Linked DNA regions of Lytechinus pictus. The protein of the gene in region 3 interacts with the protein of the main gene of each other region in a pairwise test. Links are inferred from orthologs where the notes say so. Each region holds a gene or a part of one and is shown on either strand. Other genes may lie near its edges.

Region 1 (7,660 bases), on a different chromosome or scaffold from region 3:
GAACGGATGAAAATAAGAGGAAAAACATGCAACCTACAGGAAGCTCTACCGAACAAGACAAGAGAAATGCATGTAAGTTGAAACTTAAAGGACAAGTCCACCCCAACAAAAAGTTGATTTGAATAAAAAGAGAAAAATCCAACAAACATAACACTGAAAATTTCATCAAAATCAGATGTAAAATGAGAAATTTATGACATTTTAAAGTTCTGCTTAATTTCACTAAACAGTTATATGCACATCCTGGTGGGTATGCAAATGAGGAGACTGAAGACGTCATCCACGCACTATTTCTTTTGTATTGTATTACATGAAATAGGGAATATTCTATTTTTCTCCTCATTGTCAAGTGAAACAACGATTAATTCCTCCCTGAACATGTGGAATGGGCATTGTTTAAATACTATATGATTCAGTCAAGTTGGTCCTTATTGTCAAATCTATACAAAATGAAATATTGTTTAATTCAAACAATAAAAAACAAAAGAAATAGTGAGGGGCATCATCGACTGTCTCATTTGAGTTGTGCATACCACTCTTTTGTGAAAAATAAGCAAAATTTTAAAATGTCATAACTTTTTTATTTTATATACGATTTTGATGAAATTTTCAGCGTTTTGCTAGTTTAATTTTTCTCTATTTATTCAAATCAACATTTTTCTGGGGTGGACTTGACCTTTAATAAAATTGAACAAAATATGGAGGGGACACACTAGTGTATCCAGCATCAATTAAGACAAAGAAATGTATGGGCCCATGCACAAGCATAATAGAGTCCCTATTGTCCCCAGACAATTGGGCCCATGAAATGCTTTGTAGAATCTGATGCTGGATATGCGCCTGGGACACGAGGAAACTGAGAAAGGGCTGGGGGGAGGCTTCATCGGGTAGCTTGAAAAGATAAAGTTGAAAAAGACCGGTAAAGGGATTGATACGGAGATGTAGAAATAAGAATTACATGGAGATACTTTTACACGGGGGGGGGGGGGGGGGGGGGGGAGGGAGGGCATGGCAAGAAAATTATTGGCAATTGGATGTGCATTTATAAAACAGTTGAACTTGAAACTATGGAAATCAGCTAATCAATATCAATTGATTTTTTTTTACATTTTCAGGCATGTAGTGCGTGAATTATTAAAATAATTGATAATTGATTACTAGTACAACTTTCTTGCAAATGGCCCTTCTTGTACATGTAATATGCATACATTGCACTCAGCAGCTCAATTCATGAGATATCACTTCAGAAAATGCAGAGGGCGACATTGCACTTTCAAGTATGATAGATATGAAAATTAACCAAATATTCTGGACATTGTTTTGAAAAGGACAGAATTAGAATAATAAACCCAATTATATTTAAAAACCAAATCAATACATCTCTGTTTTAACTAATTATCAACAAGTTTCCATCTGCATAACATTTCATTACCTATTCCTGCAAAGCATGAAGATAAATAAAGAAAAATGTCAAAGAATGGTTTGATAGAATTAGCCTGATAAAATCTTTAACAGCTTCCTTACATGTATCAGTATTACCCCTACTTTAAAAAAATGGGATAAAATTAAAACTTAAAATTGAAAAAAAATATAAGAAACATGTACTTTGCAAATGAAAAAGCAATACCAAATATCCCACAGAGTCACAATGAATTTCTGTCACAGTCACTCTCCTATTTAACAAACTTTGTTAACATGATTTTGATTAAATTATAGACAAGTAATTTTCCTCTTATAATTCACATCGACTTCAGGTTTAGGTGGACTTCACTTGGCCTTTACATTGGAATATGACCGATTGGCTTACCGACACACTCTTCTTGTTTGTTTTCTGTTTGACATCTTAGGCAGGCATCTGAAAGAAAATAATTACATATGTTTATTGTGAGGTTTTGCAAACTAAGCTTGCTGGCAATGGAATACTCATACTCAATACATGTAGCACAATTAAATAAATGAAAACTTGGCAAATAGACTCAAGCACACGCATTTTAAAGGAATATCAAACATGACTGAAGAGAAGAAATACTGCCTTCCTCATCAAAATACCTGAATCATAATCTAGTAAGGTGAATGGATGAAGAGACATGGAGCACAATGATCAGTGGCATACGAATGAGAGGGGGCTGGGGGCACTTAAATTAATTGCCCCTTCCCCAAAAAAATTTAACATCACAACCATGAAAAAAAGAGACAAATTTATGACCACAATTCACAAAAAAGAAGAGGAAAGAAAAGAAAGGCATGAAGAGTGAAATATGATATTATTATCTGAATATTCTTTTTGTAAAAATCCATAAAAAATTGGATTTTTGTAATAAGTGTCAAAATTATTGCTCACTCCGACTCGCTTCGCTCACTCCGACTCGCTTCACTCACTCTCAACTTTATGAATTTTGTCCGATATGCCACGTCTAACATCTGGCCCCCTCAAAATTTTTGGCTCATGTCAGACATAATTAATGGGAATGCATTACGGCGGTACGCCACCGGCCGACAATCATTGTTTATTTCAAAGACAAAGTGAAAGTGACTGGCCGGCGTTTATATTTTCAACGAAGATAAAATTTATTTTTAACATATAGCATAGGCCTAGATTGATTCTCTCACTTTCTCAAACTCAGTCCGAGTCTCAGCTCAGTCAGTCTCACAAAAAAAATGAAAATATATACCGGTATATTATATTTTTTTAATTACAATTTAGATTGAATTGTGGAATGTGGGCATTCAAAAAGACAACACCTACCCATGACTTGAACCCTGCAAATTGCACAAGTATCGCATTCCACATCCCAACTCCACATCGCCACAATGTTCCATTTCTTCAAGGAAAATAGTCTCTGGTTCTGGTCGGTACTTTTGGGGTTCGCCGACGTCCCAGTCCCGGTTACCGCTGGCGTTCCTGATGGACCGAGACCCGTAGATCCCCCGCTGCCAACTTCCGGATTTGCGGCAGGTCGAGGTATCGACATCTTACTCGTTGTTTCTTCAGATTCACGTGAACAAGCTAAGAAGAGCAGTGCACATACACTTGTGTCGATTTATTGATGATGTTTCATGGATTTGATCATTTCAATTACCGTTCACAATCAAGAAAATACGTCTTACAAGTCTCTGTTTTCGTCTCGACTTTCTCAAACTCCTATAATTTAATTAACGAAGAGGGCGCGCACCTATCTATAACGGTGCCGATAAGTTTTAAAGACTTGAATATTATTACTTATATTTTGCTTGATTTTTATATTTTTTTACAATCAATTATTACAAAAAAAATAATAATCCATTACAAAATTTTTGTTTATTCAAACGCAAATTTTTTAATCCTTTTTTTGTAAAAAAAAAAATTCTTAATCTGACCCCACTTTTGATTTACTCAAAATTTGTTGCTTGACAACCTCAAACGAATTTTGCAGCAGACCGTCTCAAACTTACTTGTTAGAATTATCGAACTTTCCACTTTTCAGGAGAGAAGACTGCTTAGAACACAAGCTTAACAATGGTGAGTGTTTATAGTGGCTACTGTATCAAATAAATATGTAATATATTCATTAGTTGCCTATTTCCACTTATTAACTTGCAAGCTGCGGAGCTCGAGCTGGAGCCGAGCGGCATGCGGAGGCGGAGCTCCTCCGCCGAGGCCGAGGCAAAGGCTCGCTTGCGCTCGAGGAAGTGGAGCAGGGGCCCGTTTAATTTCTCAACACATGGACAAGTTATATCTTTATCCACCAACCACGGAGTTAGTTCCAATCTTACTAAACCTGTTTCATCGAAAGTCTTCCTAACTAGACATGCTAGAATTCCTTGATATCGATACTATCGGTAAAAAGAGCAAACGAGACGTAGCCTTAGGCTTGCCTTAGACAAGTTTAGAGTCAGTTAGACGCCGTCACAAAATAGCATTATTTTCAAAAAGAAAAATTATGGCAAAATTGCAAATATTATGATGAATTGGTAAATAAATCTTTTCAAAATACTACTTACTAGCACAGGTAAATTATGCATCATACATACTTAGACCATGAAGACTGGAGCATTCAATTGTAGAGAAAATTAAATTATGAATAATTCATTTCATGACTAAAAAATCACTTGTACAGTTGTGGACGTTCAGATGGGTACCCCAGGGAGACCCAATTTTAATAGTTTACAAAAGTAAACCATAACGGTCTTCTTTGACTTTGTAAAATGATGATAATTATACGGACTTTTATGATTCCAAACGTCATCAAAATATAGTTTAACGAAACATTTATAATCATTGATACCGAAAGATACGATAAAGATTACTCTCACCAATTAAAGACTAGACTCTGAGGGAATGGAGAAAGTGCGTACATTGCCTGCGGAATACCAGTATTTGATGAGTGGGGTAATCCTATATCTGTCAAGCACTAAAAATGTGGTTCCAATGTATTAAGCACTGTAAAAGTACAATAATTTAATATTATCAAATAACTTTCTTTTTTGCATGCAGGCAAGCTCTGCCCAAGATGGTCGCTACTCTTTCATTTGTGAATGGTACGACAACAATGCAGCTATTATCAGACGATATCAGTTCCTCTTCTACCCTAATGATAACACCATTGAAATGGTAAGCTTGTTTGTAATGCCTTGGTCATCTCATATATTTGCTAAACAAACAAATTCACATTTTGCCCGTCTCCACCCAGATGGCAATGGTTACTCAGTATGCATTTTTTTTGCATCAGATTGGCCCCTGTCTCAAACGCTTCCCCAACGTAGAAAATGTGCAACCCAAATTTGTGGGGATTCAATTTTGATGAATGAACAGTTTCATGAATTTGATGACATGACTGTTTATTGTATGAAGGGGAAACCTTGTAACTTAAATTATTTGATAAAATAAAATGAAGTCAGATGTTGTAACACAATGAATTCTGATCCAACATTTGTCCAAATTTTTGATATGAGGAAAAACTGTCGCACTTTTGTTTAAAAACCTCAAGAGTTTGTTGAAGCTTAAGAATCTACACATACGTGTATTTCGGCACTTGATATTCCTGTCCTACGTCTGGGACTTGTGTTGCAAAAAGCTGAAATAGATTAAAATCTAGTTCGAATTGCAATTGATGCAACATTTTCTACGGTACACCTATTTAGATCAATCACAAGTTGAGTTAGATTTTAATCTTTCTCAATTATTTTTCAGACAGGTTTAAATTTATGAATAGCCTCTGAAATTACTGAATCAAAAATACAGTTAAATTTATGAAAATCAAAGCAAATCCAATGAACAACACAACTGTCCATCAATTAAAAATCTTCCATTCACATCTGTTTACTGTGTTTAGCATGTATTCAAAATAAGGGTTTTTAATCCGCATATATAGTGCTTGTATTATCTATTAATTGCAATGTTTTTCTAAGATTTACTTGATTTACAAAACTTATAATGATGAAGCAGCAATCTTTATATGTTTTGTACATATCACTGAAGAATTTGAATTTTACAATTATGGCAAACCTTGATTTTAATTTGCATAATCTATATAAAAACAGAGAAGTAACAGCCTTATTTATTTCCTTATATTACGCTAAAAATTGTCAGTTTTATCTTAATTTGTTCAAATGATAATTGTCATTGGGATGACTTGGTCTTTAATTCAATTAATTTGAATCTTGTTTCCTTCTTTTTTATCAGTATGACCTAAAGAATAGACGTCAGTTCTTGAAGAGATCACATTGCGATTCAGTCCATCTAAGAGACCTCTTTGTTGGCAGTACTGTTAATGTTCACTCACGTCAGCTGAACCTGGTTGAGTATGCTGATGATTTCACGAAGAGAGCGCTTACAAATGTCAAACAGAAGTAAGTATTTATAAGCAAAAATAACGAGTTGCCATATTTGGTCTAATTCTAATAATCCTTGCCATTTGGTCTAATGCCAGTTTGATCTCATCTTACATGTACACTAGAGTTTTTCAACATGGTATCATGCTTGGGAATTGAGTAAATCTAAAACTTCATAATCTTCTTGTTTTTTTTTTCTTCTAATCTCTCAATGTTTCCTCTATATGTTTAACCCTAAACGAACTGGACTATTTGAGATGTACCTGTACCCTGGACTTAGGGGGGGCATGATGCCCCCCTTTTTCTGATCTTGGCCGCCATTTGCGCGATCACGCCAATATTTGGCATGCACATTCCTTACCACAGAAACTACGAGCCTACAGGTATAAAAAAATTCTGAAAACAATTGTTTTATTTATTATGAATAAAGTATGTAAATTTATTTGTGAAAAACATTTTCATATTTAACACCCAATTTCACTTCAAATTTTCTTCTTCTTTTTTCCAGATGTCACCTTTGTAATCTAATTTAAAGGTTTCCACAAAGAAAAGTTTTGAAAGCCAATTTTTGTCTCGCCTGCGAAGCAGAGTGAGACTATAGGCGCCGCTTTTCCGACGGCGGCAGCGGCGTCAACACCAAATCTTAACCGAAGGTTAAGTTTTTTAAATGACAGCATAACTTAGAAAGTATATGGACCAAGTTCATGAAACTTGGCCATAAGGTTAATCAAGTATTACTAAACATCCTGCATTATTTTCAGGTCACATGACCAAGGTCAAAGGTCATTTAGCGTCAATGAACTTAGACCATGTTGGGGGAATCAACATCAAAATCTTAACCTAAGGTTAAGTTTTTGAAATGTCATCATAACTTAGAAAATATATGGACCTAGTTCATGAAACTTGGACATAAGGTTAATCAAGTATTACTGAACATTCAGCTTGAGTTTCACATCACATGACCAAGGTCAAAGGTCATATCTCCCTTAGACTTACGGTACACATATACCCGTATGTTGCGAATTTGGTCTCAAAAGTTGCGCGAGGTTTCAAAGAAAATAGTCAAAAAAATTTGTGGCGCTATCTTTTTGCGTTTCAGGGTCGTCATGCCCTAATCAAGTAATTTAAAACTTGTTTTCTACTTGTTCTTTGAAAATCTCTCAGTAATTCCTCTAGATCTTTTTTTTATGGTTAGATAGTAGCCTATATTGTGGAATACAATATGATCTATTTCATTTCATTCTTTTTCAGGACATTAGGGCTGATCAAACCTGATGCCATTTCAAAATTTGGTGAGTATATACAAACACTTATTTTTCATACATTATTTGTTTTGTAAATTACTAAACTAAGTTTGTCTTTTGAAGACAATGGTTGACTTAACGAAGATCTTGTTTTACAAAATCCTGAACTTTTATTCATGATTTATGTAATGTTGTTCATATGGATTAAAAACAGAGTGCACAGTGCATAGCGAATGCAGAGTGGATTTGATGCTTTAAAAGTTATGCCATCACCATCATCACCATCATTATCATCACCATCATCACCATCGTCATCATTATCATCACCACCACCATCATCATCATCACCATCATCACCATCGTCATCATTATCATCACCACCACCATCATCATCATCATCACCACCACCAACATCATCATCCATATTCATCATCCATAATCATCATCTTCATTTATCATAACCATCATCATTATCATCATCATCATTATCATCACCACCACCATCATCGTCATCATTATCATCATCATCATCATCCATAATCATCATCATTCATCATCCATAATCATCATCTTCATTTATGATCACCATCATCATTATCAACACC
Region 2 (7,812 bases), on a different chromosome or scaffold from region 3:
TGGGCGTTATTATTTTATTCTGTCTGTTTGTGGCTCTTAGTTACTCTACTGTATTTCTGAGAATCCTTTTAGCTATGAAATAATTACAAATGCACTATACCGACTGAAAAGGTAAGTTCAGCTGATACTCACCTATATCCTTCGCAATAAAGCGATCAAAGTCCCCCATCATCCTCACAACCATCGTGTTGTCTTCTGGGCTCTGCATCTTGTCTTCAACCACTATCCTATCTGAAAATATAAGAAAACTTTATTTTACCAAATGCAATGAATAAGAGTATTTAATCTATGAATGAGCTTTATGTATTGCATTGGGGACTAACTCTACTAGAGCATGACATGCAAGCATTTCCTACAGACCCAAGCCAATCAGAACCCACATATATGCTGGCTCAATGTCCAATGGCTTTTAAAAGGAGAATGAAATCTTTGGACAAGTAAACTTGTCTGAAAGCAGGAAGATGAAAGAATAAGATCAACAAAAGTTGAGGAAATACGTGATTATAATTATTATCATTACATTTTTTTTATTATTTATAATATCACGTATTAAATTTTAGTATTTGTTAAATAATAATTTTTATCTATAAATTGTTCTTCAAAACGGCATCGCTAGTCGGATGTACGTCATCACGAAGCGGTTCAAGGGTCAGGTCTATTGTCTTTGCTTTGTTGACAAACGGATCGAGCGATCTACAGGAGATCGGGTCTGGTAAGAAACGTCTCATTTTTACCATTTATAGTGAAATAATTTTTATCCCTTTATACGCATTAGGCACCTGAAGGTTCATAGATAAATAAAATTCGACCCTACAAACCGATTTCACCCTCTAACTATTGATTTCCTAGGGAAATCCATCTTTGTGTACTTGTGTCTCTTATATATGGACGGGGGTTCAAGACTCCATGATGAAGAAATATATGTCAAAATATTAAATAAAATATCATCATGGAGTCCTCAAGACTAGGTGTCTAGGTCTCGCTTCTGCATCTATGGGAAGAGTGTCAAGGCTCCATAATGAAGAAATATATGTCAAAATATTAAAAAAACATTATGGAGTCCTCACCTCAAGGCTAACTCTAGCCCCACTCACACGTACGGTATTGCAAGTATTAGTTTACTATACAACAGTTAAGCCTAGAAGGCTATATCTAACTTTAGATCTAAATCATGTTAATGCCTGGTAATATGGTATAATGGAATACAACTTAATTTCCAACATTTACACTAACAACAGTCAACAGTCATGACAGTTGTTAAGCCTAGATCTAAGTTTTTTACCTCAAGTGATATTCGTGTCGGTTCCACTCCAGTGAAGTGGAGTGGAACCTAATTCTGAGTGTTAACGTTACACGAGCATCACTATCTTGAGGAAGCCCAAGGCCAAGAGTCTAGACTCTAAGTAAGAGTTAAGACTAGCCAAGCGGCTTCTAGAGAGTAAAATCATTTACTAATGTAAGGTTACTCTCATACGAAGCCAGGGCTTCTATCTCATAGACCCACACAAAGCTAAGGAAGCCAAAACCTGAAACTTTCACCCCCGAGATTTCTACTTTCCTTCTAAAAGATCTAGCTCTAAATCATGTATGGTTGGGGGTCCTAAAGCTACGCGGGTCCTAAAGCTACGCACCACTCATCGCGCATGCAATTCCAATGGCAAAATAAATGCGCACTCTAGCTCTGTGTGTGAAGCTGTGACGAACGATCCCTATTCAATTTTTCTACAGAGGCTGCAATAAATCCTTAAATGCAGAGAAAACCAGCAAATGTTTGGAATTTCGGAGTTATATTCACTTTGATTTCATATTTTCCTATAATAATACGGACATATTTTAGAAATTGAGGCACAGGAAATACTATTTCTTTGCATGATAAATTGAGTCATAGCTTTAGGACCCCTTCTACATCGGGCGGCGAAATTAAGAGGTGTTCGGAAAACACGGCGGGATTTTCGTATTAGTGAGTTTTGTGATATTTTCTTCTTGGTTAAGGATATTTAGAATATTTATTACAAATTAGTGAAAAATAATTGTTCAAATATTACAATTGGCATAGTTTTTATCGTTTGGAAACAAAGTGCGTAGCTTTAGGTCCCCCCATCATACATGGGATAAAACTTCATTTCCGACATTTCTACGCTCTCGTTGTTATTTTTAAAACAAAAATTCATTAAAAAAATGAAAAAATATTGTGAAAAGAATTGCCCGATGTTTACGCCGCCATCTTGTTTCTTATTGTACTTCCCCAACATTACGGACGCGAGCGTCGCGTAACGTTGGGGAAGTACAATAAGAAACAAGATGGCGGCGTAAACATCGGGCAAGTCTCTTCCGTCTTTTCACAATATTTTTTCATTTTTTTAATGAATTCTTGTTTTAAAAATAACAATGAGAGCGTAGAAATGTCGGAAATGAAGTTTTATCCCATGTACACTACATGATTTAGAGCTAGCCTAGATCTTTTGTTTTAGAAGGAAAGTAGAAATCTCGGGGGTGAAAGTTTCAGGTTTTGGCTTCCATTGTGTGGGTCTATGGGATAGAAGGCCTGGCTTCGTATGAGAGTAACCTTACGTTAGTAAATGATTTTTACTCTCTAGAAGCCGCCTGGCTAGTTAAGACCTGAATGAAGATTGAAATTGAATTGAAATTTGAACATTGAAGACCCAAAAAAGTTATGCCCTATTTTTTAAATTTTTATTCTAACGAAGCCGAAGGGCCTACCGAAATAGGCCTAACTTCCTCCCGCCTTGACTTTGCGTCTACTCACACGTCACAGGAAAATCAAAAGGGAAGAGTTCCTCTCATGCTGTGTACAAACAACAAATAACCAGGTTGCTTTCTCATTCGGCTACTTTCATGAGCGGCTTGCTGCACAACGGGTGCGGGGCAAACACGGCGTCTAGCCAACTGTAGATCCGCTATAACCGTTGGGCTTGTCGAGCACCCGGGAACTCAGCATGCATGCACAAAAACAAATTACTGATCGCTGTCCGGTACTCCAAAAATAGAGGGCGCTCGACTTCTGAATCGACAAAAGCAGCTGCTGCAGCTGCAGTGTGGTTGGAAAAAAAAATAATTTCGCGTAAGTAGGCCTATATTTCTTTCTCAACAAAATATTCATATGATTAAATCCAGCTAGCCGTTATGCCATCTAAAAGTGAATTAAATCATTGATGACATTAAGCACTGACAATTATTTACCAGCTTATATAAGAATTGATATGAGGATTTGTTTTTTATTGGGGGGGGGGGCGGGGGGGTTTCTAAAATTCACTGCTAATAAAACAGAAATAAACTAATGAGTACGATAATATATTAGCTCTCTTTATTAAATGAAGATTATGGTGATAATACTATAAACTTACGAGAGTCTTGTTCAGAATAATCAACCTGCTTTACAAGTCAACCAATCAATACATACAGAGGCTTCAAATTGTCCCCTTGTCTTGATTTATTATAAGCTAGGAAACAATAGCGCATTTATTTTCAAAATTGGCGTTGGGGGCATGGGGGCTTGGGTGGAGGAGTATGGCCAGTCTGTTGGGATTTAAATGGAGAAAGCAACTTCCCTCTAACAGCGGCACGATTAAGTCAGATTTGACTCTTTCTGTGCTACATCTGACCCTAATCCAAGTCATTTAGGTCATAGCAACTTGGCGCGTTTTCAACGCCGTGCACCGGTGATGGCACTTCATTTTTTTCCCTCTTTTTTTTTGCCCCCAAAAGACGAAAACAAGGACCAGGGGAGCGTTTCATCAACATTTTTGTCCGACAAGTTGTCAGATCTGACAACTTTCCCTGATTCTGATTGGCTAAGAGGTACTATTACTATAGTAATAGTCGGATAAAACAGGACTTGTCGGATAAAGTCCTTTCATGAAACGCTCTCCAGATCTCCACCTCCTATATAGGGCTCGCCCAAAAAGGTTACTGATTAATAGCTAATTTGAAAGAACAATTCTGATTGGTTCATAGTGAGTCTACAGACCGAACAAAGACAAAGTGCGCTTATTACAACGATGATCTTGATAGGCCATTTCATTTAGCGATTTACCATAAGTGACACGGGACCCTCAATGCATGATTTTTGGATCCCCCAGGAAACTACCAACCTGTGATGATATTATCCTAGTTGTTAATAACCACGTGCTTGAAAGAGTCAATAATTATAAATATCTAGGTGTATGGATGGATGATACCATGACATGGCAAAAGAATGTAGAAGAATCAATGAAGAAGATTGGCTCACGGATAGCTCTTCTCAGTAGGCTTAGAAAATACCTCACGATTGACAGTTCAAACGTCTTAGCTAATTCACTTATATTACCGTACTTTGATTACTGTAGTAATTCTTGGAGCATGTGTGCACAGTATCTTAAGGATGGCTTAATCAGACAGCATAAGAAAACGGCCCGTCTAATCCTAAAAGTTAATTTTTCTACACCTATTGAACAGGTGCTCCATAGACTCAAATGGGTGTCGATTGAAGAAAGGTGGAAATACCATAGATGTAAAACAATGCACATTATCCTTAACGAGGAAGCGCCAATATATCTCTCTGAACTCGTAGTAAGATCTAGTAATGTCCACTCGTACAGAACTAGAAACTCAGTCCAGAATGGTGTAGTGGTACCGCTTGTACGCACACAGGCTGGAAAAAAGGCCTTTTCTCATAGTGCTGCCATTCTCTGGAACCAGCTGGATAGTGGTACCCGTAGTGCAGTCTCGAGGCAATCCTTCGCTACATCTTATTGGAGAGCGAGAAACTACTGAATTAAAATAACTACCCCTATCTGGCTGGTTCCAGGGACAAGCAAACAAATATTTAAACACAAACTTAATCAATAATCATATGATCATAGGGAATATATAGTTATATGGATTTGCATATGCACAATATGTTGACTTTTGTTCTACTTATACACACATGTATTTCAGTATGTCTGTATGTCCTGCAGGTTGCTTGTCTCTTTGAACATATTTTCTTCCTTGTTTCTCATTGTTTGTATTTATTATATGTATGCACATGTATTTGTTACTTGTATGCAGGGCCCCCAAGAAAAACAGTGCTTAGTCCACTGATGGGGTTACCCTGGGTAAACAAAACGAAATAAATAAATAAATAAAAAATGGTAAATCTAGGATCCACGACTGTTCGTGTTGGTAATGCTGTCTCGTCTGCACCAACTGAGTTCCCCCCCTTTTTTCTCCCATATTCAGGGGCCGCGGAACGGTTTTCAAAGTGGGGGGGGGGGGGGGGGGGCTGACCATGCAAAAAATCATAATCATATGGTCAATTTTACGTTTTACACGGTTTTGGAAAAAAGTGATGGGGGGGGGGCTGAAGCCCCTACCCCGCTTCCGCGGCCCCTAATATTTTTGTGCCTCTCCCTCTCATGCATATAACAGTTCAAAGAGAGGTGTTTAATATCTTAAACAATAAAGTTTAATTTTTTATAATTAATTCTCAATAACAGTGGTTGTTTAAACTGTTAAAAAGCTACTGTGAGGTTATTATAATAGTAATAATAATAATAATAATATGGGAATTTATATTGCGCACATATCCACCTTGTTAGGTGCTCAAGGCGCTCCTATATTACCCGGCTAAGCTAGGCGTTCATAGCGCCCCGGTACCCATTTACCTCACCTGGGTTGAGTGCAGCACATTGTGGATCAGTTTCTTGCCGAAGGAAACTACGCCATGGCTGAGATTCGAACCCACGACGCTCTGTTTCAAAGTCCGAAGACTAACCCACTGAGCCACAACGCTCCACATCGTTAGTAACATCGTTTCATTGTGTAAAGGCTGCTGCAAATTCGAACTTCAATGGGGGGGGGGGCATAAAGAAAGATTAGTAGGCTTACAAATAAAATTGCTGTTTAAATCTTATACAGCACAGTACAAAAAGTATATGAACATTACAATAGGCCTAATTGTTTAACAGTTTAAAAAACATACGCCCTAATTTGAGTATTGAAAATTAAAAAGTTTAATTGTTGAAGATTTTAAACATTATTTTGTTTAAACTATATTAAACAACTATTGTAAAGTTCAGATAGTAAACATCATTGCAGACAAATTTTAACCAACGTTTTTTCTGTGTAGTTTATTATATAGGATCAGATCTATTGTAGGCCTACTACGAACCTAGAACCTTCGTGATGAAAAAAAAATGATTTTCGGATTAAAGGAGGTACTCCAGGATGAAAATAATATGATTTGAACAAATAAAGAAAATTAAGATCAACAAAACACTGAAAAATTCATCAAAATCGGACAAGGAATAACGAAGTTATGGTATTTTAAAGACTTGCATTAAATAAAAAAACAGTATATATTTCTATGCATGTATTCATGAATATTCAATGAACAAACTGATGATATCGTATCCCCACTTATATGTTAATTCAATTTTTTCCTTCAAGAATAAAACAACAAGGTGGTTCACGAACCAAGAGTCTCGCCTGATATCGCGATCAATAAAACAGGCCATATGCAATATGATCTTTTTTACCTTATCATCCTCATGAAAACATGCGTGGTATTACCAAATGGTTATTTGTACCAAGTGTAAACACAATTGATGCAAAAATAAAGAAATGAGAGCCGAGACAAAAAATTGGATTCACACTAATATAGGGTATTACGTATCAATTTCTGCAACTTGTTTTTTTCCTTTTTTTTAATAAGGGAGACATTATCATACACATTATGCTTGATTTCATGTAATAACATATAGAAAAAAGAAGGCAGGGATGTGACAACGTCAACCCACCTAATGAATATTCATGATGACGTGCGTAATAACGGTTTTCACAAAATATATTGCTAAACTTTAATAGTCAATAATAAAAGATAAAAATAAAAACAAATTCAACTCTATTTATTCGTACTTTCAGACCGGAGTATCCTTTTAACGAAATTTGATGGTACTCGAAAGCCCATTGTTTATTTCAGTGGTTTTAATAAGTATTCTTGTTCTTCTTTAATCCCCTCTCCTCGCGCACCATTAAACCTCCAACATGACTATGATTTTTATTCTTCCCAAACACACTTTTATGAAAAATAAAGCAAATAAAGTTTTAGTATTTAACTGCATTAGGACTTATTGGAAAATAAAGAGGGGGGGGGGAGGAATGGGTGTATGTGATGGTGGATATGTGGTGAGTGCGAGAGAGAAAAAGAAGGAGAGAAAGATATAACAAAAGTGTTAGGAGTGGTGAAGAAGAAAAATTAATCATAACATAATTATACAGCCAAGCATTCGGCTTTAATCTGTTACAGAGCCATCGACGAAGTCTTAATGCCGAAAGCTTGGCTTAATTGTTTTCAGCAACGTCTTAATAGTCTTGTATCTTACATTATTTTATATATAATATATATATATATTTATATTTATATACATATTTATATATACATACATTTTTTGTCACATCATGGTCACTAACGAAGAATGTGACTTTATCGTTCATCTTTAAGAGCTATGCTCCTTTCAAAATCTATGATTTTATTTCTACGGCACAAATTTTGATTATCTTACTCCTTATAATTATGGCAAAGCAGACTTTTTTCTATTTTACTCAGGTACTGTTACTGTTAAACTTCGACTGTTGGCGGTGAGGCCCTTTCAGATTTTCCTGTTTTGGAGCCGGAGATTCGCCATTGTCATCTTGCGGCAACGCATATTTGCATGTGTCTTTTCGTCTTTTTAGTGCGCTATCTCCATCTTTAGCGTACTGATTTCTTTGAAAGTTGAGTTTCTCAATCAGTATATGCCCATGAATAGACGACTGTTTCAGAAACGGATT
Region 3 (7,522 bases):
AGCAAAACGTGTCTATTTTACATCTTGAAAGTCAAATTTCTCCTAGGTCAAACAGATTTCCTGGGTGCCAACAGATTTGACCTTAGAAGGGTCACCTGCAGTATGTTTACACTGAAATAATCATTGGGTTAACCTACAAATAGCACAACCAATGTTCATTGCATAAAGTAATATTGGATCAAATGCTTTTATATAAAGACTATCTATACAAAAGTAAAACGGCTTTGAGAGATATATATTTTAGAGTAAATTGCAATAAATCAAAGGAGAGGTTCGGTGAGTGGTATCGTACTGTCTTCATTAATTTTTATGGCAATTGCATAAATGTATCAAACAATACATATAAAAAGAAAAATATTAGGCTCACATCCCATTGTGCTAATGTCGAATGAAATCTGTATCTAATTCTTATTGCATATTTTTCTATAATACTTACAATTTACATTTTGTGTTCCGTTCATGCTAATGTTTTACAGAGAAATTTCCATATATTTCATGATGTCTAAGTAGCGTAAAAAGTGATTTTGATTCAACACTTTTGTATAACGATGATTCACTTTATGATTCTCATGTCAAAATGGTCAGTAAACATATTGACTTAATTTATTTTGTACATGTAGGTCTCCAACTCTTTACATACGGTATATATCGATAAATATACTAGCATTTAAATTCTGACAATGTTAAAATTTAAGTGAAATGTCTGCTTTTATTTTAGTACATACCATATTATCTGCCAGTAAAGTAGTAAGCAAGAGTCCATCATCTATTCTAAACAAGAACTTACCCTGCATTTTGCATAAGGTGGGTTTAATTGCATACAAACTTCTCCACACCATGGCATTACAAATCTACTTTCACAAATTTCATCCTAATAAGTTGGTGGAAATTGGATTCTTCCTGCATATACATATATTCTGTATAGAATCATTTTTTTCCTCCTCTAATTTTCAACTAACGTATGTGCAGCACCAAAGAATCTAATAGGTTAACAGATTTTGTTTTTTGTTCTTTGTCCAACTGGGTACCTACATAATGTACAAACTGTCTACCTAATGTACCAAACTAATCATCCGTCAATCTAGAATCTAGATTATTTTTTTCAATACTTATCAATATATATCAGAAATCTGTTAAATTTTTACACAAACAGCATACTTGTATAATTGCTTATCTTGTACAACTGCAACAGCTTTGGCAAGTCTCTTATAAATAATTGACATTATGTATGGGAGAATATAAGTATAGCAGACACAATAGTGCTCCTCATACTTGATCCTTTACACCATCTGCACAAAAGGTTGGAGATTTTGATTTACCTTTCAGTACATCTGACTTTAATAGTGGAGGCATGTTATGGCAAATTAATAGCAACATCGATCTGGCGCTGCACAGTGGCTACCGGGCCCACAATTAATTGGGCAAAACAAATTATATTCAGAGGATTTTTATTTCAAACAATAAAATCTGGATTTTCTGAACAAAAAATGTATTAGAATCCTAACTCTAACTCTATGCCCTCTGAGATAATAAGACTGGACCAAATGTCGCAGGAGCAAATGCCGTGACGCCCCAAGAGAAGGAGTACTTCTATAAGACACCACACAGAATCGAGGCAAAAAAGAATATTGCATGTATGTCTACATTCCAATATCGTGGTATAATCACTACTGAATTATCAAAATCTGAACATATTGGTACATTCTAAATATTAAATTCTGTGTAAATTCAATAAGCCAGCTGCAAATCAAGAATACTGTTTTATGTCCAAGGTATATATGGAAACCAAAACGAAGCACAATTACATGTCACTATTCAAACAAATATGAAATACTGATAATTCAATTGTAAACAATGATTAGGAAGATGATAATAATAATAATACTACTTAATGATAACAATGAGAGATCTAATCAAAGTCAGAGACACATCTTTCATGCTGGAATTTCCCATCTCTGTTTCCCATCTCTCAGATGATATCATTGCATTATTCACAATTTTCCCATGTAATGTATGTTAACTTTGTATGTGCCTCGTTTTGTTTTTTATAATGAATGGAATAAATGCTATCAAATCAAATCCAATCTATTCTAATCTAATAGCTAGATGTATCTGCAGGCAAAATAATACAAAGGAATGTCACCAAGAAAGATATATTGTTCCTTTGAACCTGCCTACAAAAGCATAGCCTAGTGTCTTTCATGAATGGCGGTTTCCTTGTTTGTTTTGTCTGCTGTTTTATATGGGAATCCTATTCGAAAGATGGCTCTGAATTTAGGTGAGGGCTTCATATCAAAAACAAAAAATGATAACATTGATAATGAATAATAATTTAGCAGTGTGAATAGCCGAGATATCAAGCATTGTCCCACTGGTGTAAATTCAAGCAGTGAACCTATTGATTGACCAAGGGGGAAGGGGGGGGGGGGAAGTGAACTATTGTTTCATCCCCCAACTTGAATGGTATGGCATCATGTATTAATACACCCATGATTGTCTCTAACTACATACGGGTCTTTGCTTTAAAAAAATCCCAACTTTTCAATGTCATAACATTGAGAAGGTATTTACCAGTATTTACATGAACCACCAGTTTCACATTTTCCCGATCCTGGTTTACACCTCTCTGCCTACAACTCTGCAATCTATGCCTTCCCATTTGAGATGAGGATGCAAAAGCAGCACAATATAGTTTGCCAAGTTCTATAAATGCACACAAAGTTAATTGTACATAGATGCTGATATTACATCTTCAATAATTTACAAATAATTGAAATCCAGAAAATATCTGCAACGTGACATAATACATTTTAAGTAGTGTTGACAGAAATTTCACGATATTATTAGTAGGAATTTGACAAATCAATGAATATTGAGGCAATTTCATATGATTTGTACGTAATAAATACAAATGGTAATTAATCAATACAAAAAACATCATTGCAAGTGAATTAAAGTTTAAAAAGATCTTCTGTCACTGTAGAATGAAATGAAAACATGTGTCAGGTTTGTCATATATCTTTCACATTCTCCAAATTCTTATCTCTCTTCACAAAATGGATGCCATCCCCTGGCAGTGGGGATGAGATCCACGGCCACAACCAAATCAGGTACCACCTGGTCCCGAAGACGTCCAGCAGGTTCTGACACCAACCTCGGTTGTACCGACGGATCCCTTTCCGCCATTCTCTGGTGGTCTGCCCTCGAAGGATGAGCGCTAAATGGTAGTAAATCATTCCCAACGATAACATGAGGCAAATAACACAGGTGCTACACTGGAGGCAAGTTAGGAAGGAGAGAGACTGCGTGAATCCAAAGATCCATCCAATGACGGGAGCGAAGAACGTAACGACCACTCGCCAATTGAGGCTGTTGAGCATCTCGTACGTGAACTCAATGTTCAGGTAGTTGGCGTAGAGGGCGCCAAGCGCAAAGTACACCAGCATCATCATGAAGTAGCGCTGGTTGTTGTGTCCTACGCATTTTCCGGTGTACAGGCAGTGGTGGTCACGCTTCAGGACACAGATGTTGCAGATGAAACAGTGGGATGCCCGAGGGGGGCTGTTGATCATGCAGGTAGGGCAGTAAGTCCAGTCCGGTTTTAGAACCGACGGGAGGATATTTGGTCCCGATGTCAAGTCAGTGGCAATGCTCAGGTAGAAGTTGCCGATGAAGTTGAAGAAGAGGAAGAGGCCGATTGATAAATGGATGTTGTAACTCTGGGAAAATGGCTCAAAGAGGGTTGGAAATACTACATATAACTCAAAGAAAATCTCAATTATCAGCTCCAGCAGAACAAAGGCCACAGGAATCTTGTCACCAGTTTTCTTTGGTATGAGTACGTCCCATTTTATCATGGCCATGATATTCCTGAAGCATGGATAGGTGATTTAGATGAATTTTGAGCTCATCTGACCTCTAGGGTTTCTAAGAAAATATGGAAAATGAAAAGAAAGTCCAATAGTCAATAGACTAATTACAACAATTCAGATACAATGACCTAAAAGTAAATTTGAATTTCAGATATTAGTAAGCATCACTTAAAATCTTCCCCTTCTTGCATGTGATATTTCTGAATTTCATCACCACAAACTTCACCACAAACATATTGTAACAGTGTATATCAGTTGAATGTAAAGTGCTGGCACTAGTACAATTTGCATTTGACTCAGATTTTCAGGGTTGGGTTTCAAATTTCATTCAGCCTTAAAATTAAGTAAAACATGTTAAGGATTAGACTTCGTTTGGAGTTCAGTGGCTAGAACTAGATTTTTAATTTAGAAAAAATATTACTTAAGAGCCAAGTTATATGATGGATAGCTGTAATGGAAACTGGCAGTGTCAAAAAATCAAGCATAATTTGTCCCCAAGAAAAAGAGAAAATAAGCCAAAGCCCCAAAATTGGCATTGCTAACCTTAATCATTTCATCACAAAGAGAACAAAGTCAAAGAACAGTTATAGTACATAACCTTGTTCATTGTGAATGAGTGATTAGATTGTGACTGAAATTACTACAACACAACAACCAACCTGCGAATAGCCGCTGATCCTCGAATACCAGGGGAAGAACAACAAAGAAGAAGAAGAAGACTGATGAAGTTCAGACTCAGAGTTCGTCAAAAACTCGCACAATTCACAATGATGACAATCATTTGAATACTGACACGTATTTTAATACGTGGGGCAATGCTTAATTTCCAATGAATTCTTTACAAATTATTTGGGGAATATGAATATCGATTCACTCCAATTCGTTCTTAAATCATAGACTTTATTAAATAAAATGAAATTTAATGGTTTACCTCACCAACTTGTTCAACAACTCCGTCTGATGTCCGTCAAATAATTCTTAGACTTTCATTTTAAGCCCGCTCGTCGTTGACTGATGTCGGATGATCAATGAGAAAAGGCGATGAAGCTGAAACAAAATAATGGCGGGACCTTTGAAAAATCCGGCACATTTCATGAAACCCCCTAGCTATGGCGTTGGTAAGTATAGTAACAACATTATAAACCAGTTCATCATATTTCATGATGTTTTTTTTATTGAATGTTTTTGCTCGTTGTATGTGAGAAACTTTTGAAAAGTTCGTGAACTGAGTAGCGACTTAGTGCCATAGTGGGGATGTTGGCAGCCGCTCTGGTTAAGCAGCAAACCAGCGCCCAGCCTCGACCCGCCGCCCGGCCCCCGGCCCGGCCCGGCAGCCGGGCAGGGCGAAAGATTTGAGTTCTGAAAAGTGGGAGCGTTTCATCAACATTCTTGTCTGACAAGTTGTCAGATCTGACATCTTTCCTTAATACTGATTGGCTGAGAGTCTCTGTTTCTATGGTAACTGTCGGATAAAATGGGACTTGTCGGATAAAACTTCCGGCAAATCCTTTTTTAAGGCTTTAGTTTCATGAAACGCTCCCCTGTTCTCTCATGGTATTTATAATTAAAGTTAGATGGCAAATATAGCGATCTTCAACGCTTATATAATAAAGCGTCAAAATTTGTAGCCATCTCCTTGCATTAGTCTATATTATACGATGTGTCAAACTGAGCCTACTCTCCCGCGCATATCGTTTGTAATACGTAATAATTTTAATGCGCACAAGGTGGTCGGTTTCAAAAGAGGTGGTCGATATGTGGTGGTCTCACTATAGTATAAGGTACATAGACCGTGTAATGAAACGCTCGGGAAGAGCGCCCTACAGCGTTGAGTAAGTAACTACCTTTTTGTATCGCGAGATGGTTGTGTACAAAACATATGAGAGAAATGGTGAAGGGGTGAAGAAATAGACGATTTTTACATTTTATAATTTTTTCATTCAATTTTTCCCCCTTAAATTTGAGATGAATATATTTCAGAGGTTTCTTGGTACTATTAAAACATGGAATTATTCCCATGTGAGCCCTCTCCAAACTCCCCTCTCTCATTTTCCCCATATGTTTTATACACAGTCGCATGCCGATAAGCGAAGGTTTACTTACTCAACGCTGTTGGGCGCCCTTCCCCATAAGCATTTATCGAGCATTTCAAAAAATCGTCGAAGTGTCCGATCTTCCCCTTGTACTAGTATCTTTGATACTGAGAATGAGATACCGGTACTCCTAAGAAAAGAATGTAACATTATGACATTGATCACCATGCACCACAAGAAATGAAAGTGATGCAAAATAGAGCAGGAGCAAAATAAAAAATTGAAATATGCATAAAGGTCTATAGATCTACCGTAGAATCTATTTCCATGGATTGAGATCTTCTCAAGTGATGGAACTGAACCTAGCTGCATGCTGCCCCTATTCAACCTCTTGGCTAGTAGGATCTTCAATATCAAATGATTAAGATTTATTGATACACAGCCTTAACACAGATACACATAATATGCTTTCACCATAAATAATTGCTAAATACCATTTACAAAACATTAAAATATATTTAAAAAAGGCCGCAGAGCAACCCTGTCCTTGTATATGTATGCAAAATGAAAATTTCTATACACTAGTTACAAAATAATATCTTCTTGTCACATTGCATTTTGGTATAAATATGGAAAGTTTTATAATTTACCAAAAGAATAATCTTTTTTGACTGAAACCTTTTTTAGAAAACACATACATATAGTTGCCTTTTGCCTCTAAAAGCCCTCTATATCAATTTACTCTTTGAAAATTGAATTCCCTTTGGGAAGTGTTGCATTTCTATAGATGCGAATGAAGTCTTGTAAAATTATGAGTGTGTTATAGATCTATTACGCATTGTTGGTTGTTAATTTTGATACAATTGCTGATTAAATGTCATGTATATAATTTCCTAATTTTGAAGCATAATTAAAGTATATTTTTTGACATTTACCTATTTTTAGGTGGACCATCTTACAAGCTGCTGCCCCCATCAGCCCTAACAGTCCCAGCCAAAACAGCACCCAAGGTCACTGGAGTCTCAGGAGAACCAACAACTTCTCCGAAGAAAGCTAGAAAACAGTCCCCTCGGTAAGATCGTAACATTGATGTCTTTTATTCTTGGCTTGTTGAAGATTGTACTTACATGTACAGTGTATAATAAACAGCTGTAGAAATTGTTGATTTTTTTTTTATCGATTCAACATGCAACATTGATTCATTCTTAACAATTGAATAAGCCAGTATGTGTTCTAAAAGTCCTTATTTCCACTAAAAGTATTAGACTCATTGTTCAGTGCGTTATTTCTTTGATGATAAATATACATACACAATGAAGGGATAACACAGACATGAGAAAGATGTTATTGTGAGCTATCAAATTCTTTCCATGATATCACGGAAGAGTGTCATTTGTGACCTGCCACCCCAAGACCAACAATACATGTAAGGTACCCAAAATGAATTTTATTTTGAGATTTTCATTGAGCATGAATAAGCACACTTAAAAGTTGTAAAAATAAAATATAACTTGTCAAAATTGATCAACAATAACCCACACAGAGTGCTTGATTGAATGTTAAAGAAATTTACTGAGAGCCCCGAAGAATAAAGAGAATTTAACAAGGTTCAAGTTT
Region 4 (7,939 bases), on a different chromosome or scaffold from region 3:
GGATTTTAGGCTACTCCAAAATGTTATTAATCTGGTCTTGTACTTTGGTGGGAAAAGTGTGATCTAGACCCAATTAAAAGTTGCCACATATCAAGAGTGACATTGTGAGAAAGTACAGAATTCCAGCTTCTGATAATATAGATATTATTAACTTAAGACTCAAAATAAAAGGTTTTGCATGATTTGCAAAAGAAAACAGGGGAAGAAAATTCATGCCTGAAATTCACTATTTATCAAAATAGTCAATACAAAATAAATGACTAATATGAAAGAGGAACATTTACTCTGTCCAATGGTGCAATGATGTTTAATTTGACTTGATTATACATTTTTAGAGAAAAAAAATCTGATTCACAAGATTTTGCAGATGCAGCCATGAAAAAAAATTGGATAAATCTAGCATATTTGCTCATTAGCAGGGGCGTACATAAGGGGGGAAGGGGGGCTCTTCCCCCCCCCCAAAAAAAAAAAAAAAAAAAAGTTGTGACCAAGAAAAAAAAAGAGAAAAGGAAACGGAGAAGAGTAAAATATTTTATTTTCTGAATGTGAACATCTATCACAAAATGGATTTGTGTCATAAAAATGCTGAAATTTTTGCTCGCTCATATTTTCAGAATGCACATGTTGCACTTATTGAAATCATTTGACAATAAATACTATCGTGTATAGACAAGGGAGAAAATGGAAAAAAGAGGGGGTAATAAGGTGAAATATGATAGTTTTCAATAGTCAAAATCTATCCCAGAATCATATTTTATATCATAAAAAAGGTCACAAATTTTGCCCATTCACTTCTCTCCCTTGCATATATTTTTCACAAATTCCCGAATCTGGCCCCATTGATAATTTTGGCTCAATACACCACATAAAGTCATAAGTTGTAACTAAAGCCAAATATTTTGTTACCTTCAAAATAGTTTTATGTCAGCCCTCCCTCTGCGTCTCTAACCCTTCCTCTCTCGGACCTCGATCCTCTTATACCCTACAAAACTCCGTTAACCTCTTGCTTTTCTACTCACTCTTTTTTCTCTGAAATTGATAATCCTTATATATATATTTAGTATGTACAAAAGTCAAATTCAACAAAAATCATGAAAATACGATACAATGATTCCAGAAACAAAACATTTATGAAAGAGCATGCTTATATATTATGCTTATCGAATAGCAATAAAATAAAAATGACAATAAAATAAAAATGCAGGTGTCCATGCAATGATATCGAAGTACAGATTTCTCCGCTGTAAGTTTTTTTTTAGTGTTTTGGGTGATTTATTTTTCTCCTCCCCATTTATATCTCTGGAAATAAGCTTCTGAGCTTTCGTGGGTTATCCTGTTCAAGCATACTATTTGATGGATAAAATCAATTACTTTAGGATGACTTGGGAAATGAAATTAATCAATCAATAATATAAGTAAATCAATCAATCAAGTTATCAATCAATCAATAAACCGATCAATCAAACAATCAACCAACAAATCAATGATCTATCTATATACCTATCTAATTATCTATCTATATATCTATATCTATCTATCATTCTATCTATCTATTATTATTTCTAGCATCTTCTTCCTTGTATTCTTCATTTCTTCTCATATCTCAGTTGACTCTTGCTACTACTGTTTTTGTTCTACATGCAGTTCTCTTCTACGAAACGATTTTTAAAGTGGACACCCCTAGTAATTAATTCATCCTAGAAATTGTCGATAATGTTACCATGGTAACTTTCTTTTTCGCACGCAGCGATGATGAGCTGAAAATTCGGAGGCACCCCACATCAAGGACTATGTAATCAGGCGTTCGTAAAACATGTACTTCCACTTTTGGTGACGGCCTATCACAATATTGTTTTTCAATGACTATTGTCTGTTGCAAAGGTTGCTTCAGTCGTATAAGATAATAAGGAAATTCACAAAAGTACCCCAAAAAATTATGAGCAAATGAGGATTATAATGAGTCGAGATTTGTTTAATGAGAACTCAGGCTCACTGGTGAGAGGTGAGATTAGAATGGAAAAAAAGATGGGACCATGATCGGGAATAAGGGGGCCTTTTTAATATATATCATGGGCCACCACAGACAATGTTTGATAAACACATCCAAAACCGAAAAAAATAGTACAGAAATCGAAATTAAAAGGAAAATAATGCAGAAAGGGGTAATATTTACATGAATGATCTTTGAAATCATATTCAGAGATGAGACAACATTGAAATTCTGGGAATAATTCCATTCACAATAAAATATTTATAAAATTTGATTTAAATTTTAATAATACAGGAAGGGACACAGCCGGCCCGTGTGCCCCTTCCCCTTGAGAGCCATAATAAAAACTTGTAATGTATACCGCTTTTAGTGTGCCCCCCCCCCCTGAATGCTGTCCTAAATGTTTTATTAAAGGCATTTTGTGATCAGTAACTCATTATAACCATACTCTCGTGATGCAGCTGATAAAAACTTTGCAATAAGGCCTAACAGTGGAATTTGTCATGGCCATTCCGTAAAGGGGCGGAGTGACCGCTCGAGAAAATCTTTTGTTTTTAAAATGCATAATGGGTCAATTTAAACACTTTTTAATTGAAATGAACCCATTCATTAACATCGCAATATTAATCTTTTTAAAGGATGTTTTATTGTATTCTCTCAAATCAAAATACACATTCACATTCCATAAGCAAGTTGTACAAATTATTTGAAACATGATTATAAATTATGCAATAAATCCATAACCCATAGAATTATAAAAATTATACATCAAACTTCAAAGATACCGGAAATTAATACTGATGCGTTTCAGCAATTACAAAATGAAATATTAAATGACAAGAGAGGAAAAAATATATAAAAAGGTGATGTTCTACCTCCCACCCCCGCCCCCCCCCCCCCCCCACGTCCCCAGGTATAGGAGCACCCTCCCCTTTATGCCTACTCTACATGGAAGGGATTCCAATCCTCCGTATTGTTCTCGTTTTTTCTGTGTTTTTGTTTATTTATTTTTTGTTTTGTGGTCTTGTCTGTCGCTGTATATATACCTCGATCGATCCGCCTCACTCTCCCTATATATTCCTTTAATTTAGATTTTCCCATTTCCTTAAATGTAGAGACATCTTGCCTCTACCTATAACGCCACTGATTCTGATGATCGATTAACAAAATATCTCTTGGGCAAGGGGGGGGGGGCATAATTTCCCCCCTGGCCACGCAGTTCCGCCGCTGATGGCCTATATCCCTATATCACCAGCAGCAGCAGCAGCCTATCATCACCACTATCATCATCATCATCACCACCACCACCACCACTTCACAGGGCTCCCAACTCCCACTCATTGAGAGTGAGACTCACTCATTTTGGTCCTCTCTCACTTAAAGGGATGGTCCGGGCTGAAAATATTTATATCTTAAAACATAGAGTAGAATTCACTAAGCAAAATGCTGAAAATTTCATCAAAATTGGATAACAAATAAAAAAGTTATTGAAGTTTAAAGTTTAGCAATATTTTGTGAAAACAGTCATCATGAATATTCATTAGGTGGGCTGATGATGTCACATCTCCACTTTCCGTTTTCTTATGTTATTACATAAAATCATATTTTTTTCATTATTTCATACTCGTGTGAATAATATGTCTCCCTTATAATGAAATAAATTGCAGCAATAAATATTTAGTGCACTAAATCAGTTGTCAATCCAAAATTTCTAGTTCTTGGGAGAAAAAAAATTGAATAAACCTAATTTCATATAATAAAATACAAAAGAACAAGTGGGGATGTGACATCATCAGCCCACCTAATGAATATTCATGACAACTGTTTTCACAAAATATTGCTAAACTTTAAAATTCAATAACTTTGTCATTTGTTATCCGATCTTGATAAAATTCTCGGCAATTTGCTCTGTAAATTCTACTCCATTTATTAAGCTATAAATACTTCCAGCCCGGACCATCCCTTTAACTCAAAAGTTTTGTTTCATTTGCACGCGCATTTCTATCGATCTCACTATTTTGACCGACCTAAATCATGCCATTGTATGTTACACTCTCAACTCGCCCAGTGTTGGTACCGCTGTCATTATATGTATATTTCTATATAATAGCCCCGATGTCATGTTACCAAAGTGCAAGCCTAATGATCTTGTTCAATCGGCTTCTTTTAATTCCCCTCAGTCTTATGCAATTTTTGCACTGCCATCCGCTGGCCTTTTACCAGGGTACCCGCGGTGAGCTCATTTAGGCCTATATTTCTACATAATTATTTATACTTCTCTCTCATTAGGCTTATCTTACTTTTGAATTGACCCCATTTAATTTAGGTTATTGATTAAAGCCAATATTCTGTTTTATTACGTTTTCAAAACATCGTTTATTTTGTGAATTTTCGGCCTATAATACAAACTGATGAGGCACAGGGGTAATTTGTTGCACCTTATCAATTTTTGTTGTTGGAATTACGGGGAAAGTTATTTGGTGATCACGTGCACCCCGCTTTTATTATTATTCATTTATTTATTTATTTATTTTGGGGGTCAATGCTAGAAATTGTCATTCACAAAGGTAAGTACATGTAAAAAAGTTTTCACTACAAAATGGAAGTAAAATTGGTCTGGAGAAAAATTTGAAAAGCAAAAAAATAAAGTTTCACTACAAAATGAAAGTCATATTGGTTACATTATTCCATTTTTACACATCTATGGAGAATACTACACACAGCACCTCAAGGAAATTTTGTTGTGCTTTCACCCCCAGCACCCCCGCTTCCAAGGGTCATCCCCCCCCCCCCCCCAAGCTGATTCCTATACAGGTATGCCGTCTTCAAATTCCAAAGTGATCGGCTGGCGGATACCACTGTATTGTACCACTGATTTTCAGTTCAGTGTATTGTACACATCCGGCTTCTTTATTGCCCTCAATCCTCATCGCCTCCAATCAAAAGCGTCTCGTCTCCATAACTGCGATATCGCTAGGAACGCTCAGGATCTCCTGTGCGTGTCACCGGCAACGCAACCGGCCGGCCCGGTCGATCGAGCTTTTACACTCGACTCGTGAGGATTTGACTCGAGACCAGTGCGGTGACTTGGAAGCCAACTCTATCGAAGGAAGGAAATATTTATTTGCGTGGTAAGTAGCTCTCAAATCATAATAATTTAAATGTAAATGAGTTTCGCATTAGTTTCATGTCAAATTGTATTGCTTTAGAATCCGGATATCTCGACTTTTCGAGTATAAGGATAAAATTTATAGCAGAATACTTTGGTCTCGAATCAATATCAGCTCAGTGCAGTGTCGAGTGTGTGCGACAGTGCAGTTTTGTCTTGGTAGGATAGGATGGGGGGTTGGGTGTCCGGACACTATATTTTTGAAGCCTTCTTTTTTGTCTTTGGATTACCCTAAAAATATGAATTCAATAGTTGTAATCATCTTCTATTTTGTTCTCTATAATATTTCCTACATTTTGTACTAAAAATTGATGAAACTTCGCCTGTGATTTTTTTTCAAATGACTTCCTAAAATTGATCGTCCGGACACACAACCTGTCCGGACACACAAAAACTGGGTATACTGTCTGTATGGGGATTCGTCTGTATAGCCGCCTCAATTCTTGAGGCCGGGTTGGCGATCAGCTCTCAATAGATTGCACTGTCTGGAAATGGAAAGATGCCCATATTTTAAAAGAAAACCTTGAAAGTATTTTGATGTATACTTATAGTGCATGTATGTCTGATATCTGTATCGGTGGAATTTATTTGTCATCCTTGGAAGTTGGAATACTTTTAGCCTTTAGGCACATGATTTTTATACTTGTAATTTATTGCATTTGGCCCAGTGTTTCCACTTTTCCTGAAATTCAGGAAATTTTGACTTTTTCTAGGAAAGGTTTGGGAAATGAAAAAATTCTGGGAAATCCAAAAATTACAATTCACAATAATTAAACGTAGCAACTTTTAATATTCATGTAGCTCAAAATTTTCTGCTCGCGCTCCGCGCTCACATTTCATAATTTTTTTCCTATTTTAAAAGAGGGCGTACACAAAAAAAATGTACCTTGACTTTGATTTCCTTGATTTTGGTCACTTAGACCAAATTTAGGCTTGCTTTATTATTGCCCTACTTGTATTTTTGTTAAAAATCAATCTTGAAACTTCAAGGAAATGTCTATGAATTTGGGGAAATTTGGCATTCAGTTTCTGGAAATTTGTTTTGGATCTGTGGAAACACTGATTTGGATTCAGTCCGTCTTTTTGACCCAATTCGTTCTTAAATGTACCGTATGTTTAGCTAGCTACCATTTACTCTTCCAGACCAAGTGAATAGGCCTATAAGTCAATTTTTTTATCCTTAAATTCTGTTGAATTACCGGGGTAAGTTTTTTTTTACGGAATAAAAGGTATTGATTCATAATTCTAAAAAATAAATTGAATCAAGCAAGTTTGAAAGTGGGATGCAAACCCATATGTACTACATGTATGCCTTTTCATCAGTAGGCCTTCAGTGAAGAAATCTGACCCGACAATGTTATCGCCATGATTGATGACACATTTGTGGACTCTATATCCTTGGTAGCTAGGCTTGGTACTGTAGGACTTGCAAATTTGAGGATTACTACTGGGCATGTCAGCCAACAAAATTTAGTTTATTATATCTATAGGTCTACATGTATAAAAACCTAATAGCCAGTGCATATACATGTAGGATGATCGTGTTCATCTTTCTTGAGTTGCAGATTCTTGTGTCCAGCTTTCTGTCTGCATTATTTCCTATTCTTGATTTTTCTTGTAGATGGTGTGTTCGTGATGATGATCATACATGTATTGGTAACAAACGTACCGAGTATGACTTGATATCTTCAAAGTGCATGTCAGGCTTCAATAAGTGTTGATTAAGAAATCCATCAGATCCTCACCATGTATCATCATACTAGTCCCAGAGTAAGTACTTCATTTCCTTGTAATTACTTTTTCTCTTTTAAGCATCATATCACCAATATACAGGGATGTAAACTATATGAATAATCATGAAGTGATTGATATGTGGATATTTATTTTCATATGGATCAAAGTTACTTCTCTGATGAATTAATTTGATACATGCTGTATAGATATAGTAAAAAAGACAAACCAATAAAAGCTTATCCGGCATGTTGTTAAAGATTGAATTATAAGTCCCTATTACTATTATTTTGTCTATTAAAGTGGAACAGATGAGAAGAGAGAGATGCTGTAGATTATTGGTTGTTTGATCAATATAATTTTTTTTCGATGTTTTCATAGATATTGAAGCACTCTTGCGATAGTTTCAAATGCCTGCTTTTAGGTTAATTTCCCAGTAATTACTAATTTTCTGTCAAAAATATTATAGAAATTATGATTTTTAAAGAAATGCTCTCAAAAAAGAATTTGGCCCCGATTTACAAATGTGAATAAACTTTTACCTAGATGGAAGCAGAATTTCATGTTTAAAGTGCACTTGATTCTGCTCTTTGAAAGGTCAGATAATGCATGCATTCCTTTGATAATGGGTGCTAAATTTTATGTCCATTGACGATGGTTTGTCCTAGAGATGATTAATATTATTGTAAAGTGTTTTTTTTTAACTGTAAGTTTATGAAATGATATATTGATGGCTTTAAACTTACCGACACTCCCTCCCCCATTTTTTGGTTAGCTGTGCATTCATGTATTTAAAATATCTCCCTTGGATATTAAAATTTTTGGACTTTGTGTTTTTAATGGACAGAACACCATTTTGAATGAACAAAATCATTTAAAATGTATGAAATTTTGTGTCTTATTATCTAAAAATGTGAAACAATTACTTAACCCTAGCAATAGGTGTAAATTTGCCCAAAATGCTAATTATTGGAGCTTTTCAAGTGTGGGTAATTATCAAACAATACACACCCCACTGAACCCAGAATAAAGCTAACAGATATTTTCAA

What was found.
Region 1: the proteins of coiled-coil alpha-helical rod protein 1-like (region 3) and nucleoside diphosphate kinase 7-like interact in binary tests that used the Homo sapiens proteins (3 or more experiments, as listed by UniProt). The link is inferred for Lytechinus pictus from reciprocal best matches to the Homo sapiens genes CCHCR1 and NME7.
Region 2: the proteins of coiled-coil alpha-helical rod protein 1-like (region 3) and mitotic spindle assembly checkpoint protein MAD1-like interact in binary tests that used the Homo sapiens proteins (3 or more experiments, as listed by UniProt). The link is inferred for Lytechinus pictus from reciprocal best matches to the Homo sapiens genes CCHCR1 and MAD1L1.
Region 4: the proteins of coiled-coil alpha-helical rod protein 1-like (region 3) and kinesin-like protein KIFC3 interact in binary tests that used the Homo sapiens proteins (3 or more experiments, as listed by UniProt). The link is inferred for Lytechinus pictus from reciprocal best matches to the Homo sapiens genes CCHCR1 and KIFC3.

The regions. Positions count from the first base shown.
Region 1 is NC_087260.1:9,045,449-9,053,108, reverse strand, and holds the start of nucleoside diphosphate kinase 7-like, read left to right. Parts: upstream 1-4,468; coding exon 4,469-4,591; intron 4,592-5,662; coding exon 5,663-5,829; intron 5,830-7,062; coding exon 7,063-7,103; intron 7,104-7,660. Other genes in the region: RING-box protein 2-like, read right to left, coding at 1,808-1,855, 2,747-2,972. UniProt on the Homo sapiens protein: Possesses an intrinsic kinase activity. Displays 3'-5' exonuclease activity with a preference for single-stranded DNA. Does not seem to have nucleoside diphosphate kinase activity.
Region 2 is NC_087254.1:35,629,037-35,636,848, reverse strand, and holds the start of mitotic spindle assembly checkpoint protein MAD1-like, read right to left. Parts: upstream 3,040-7,812; 5' UTR 2,768-3,039; intron 232-2,767; 5' UTR 209-231; coding exon 133-208; intron 1-132. UniProt on the Homo sapiens protein: Component of the spindle-assembly checkpoint that prevents the onset of anaphase until all chromosomes are properly aligned at the metaphase plate.
Region 3 is NC_087259.1:8,053,462-8,060,983, reverse strand, and holds the start of coiled-coil alpha-helical rod protein 1-like, read left to right. Parts: upstream 1-4,412; 5' UTR 4,413-4,932; coding exon 4,933-4,990; intron 4,991-6,850; coding exon 6,851-6,977; intron 6,978-7,522. Other genes in the region: probable palmitoyltransferase ZDHHC24, read right to left, coding at 3,012-3,863. UniProt on the Homo sapiens protein: May be a regulator of keratinocyte proliferation or differentiation.
Region 4 is NC_087246.1:61,474,580-61,482,518, forward strand, and holds the start of kinesin-like protein KIFC3, read left to right. Parts: upstream 1-4,801; 5' UTR 4,802-5,121; intron 5,122-6,780; 5' UTR 6,781-6,905; coding exon 6,906-6,929; intron 6,930-7,939. UniProt on the Homo sapiens protein: Minus-end microtubule-dependent motor protein. Involved in apically targeted transport. Required for zonula adherens maintenance.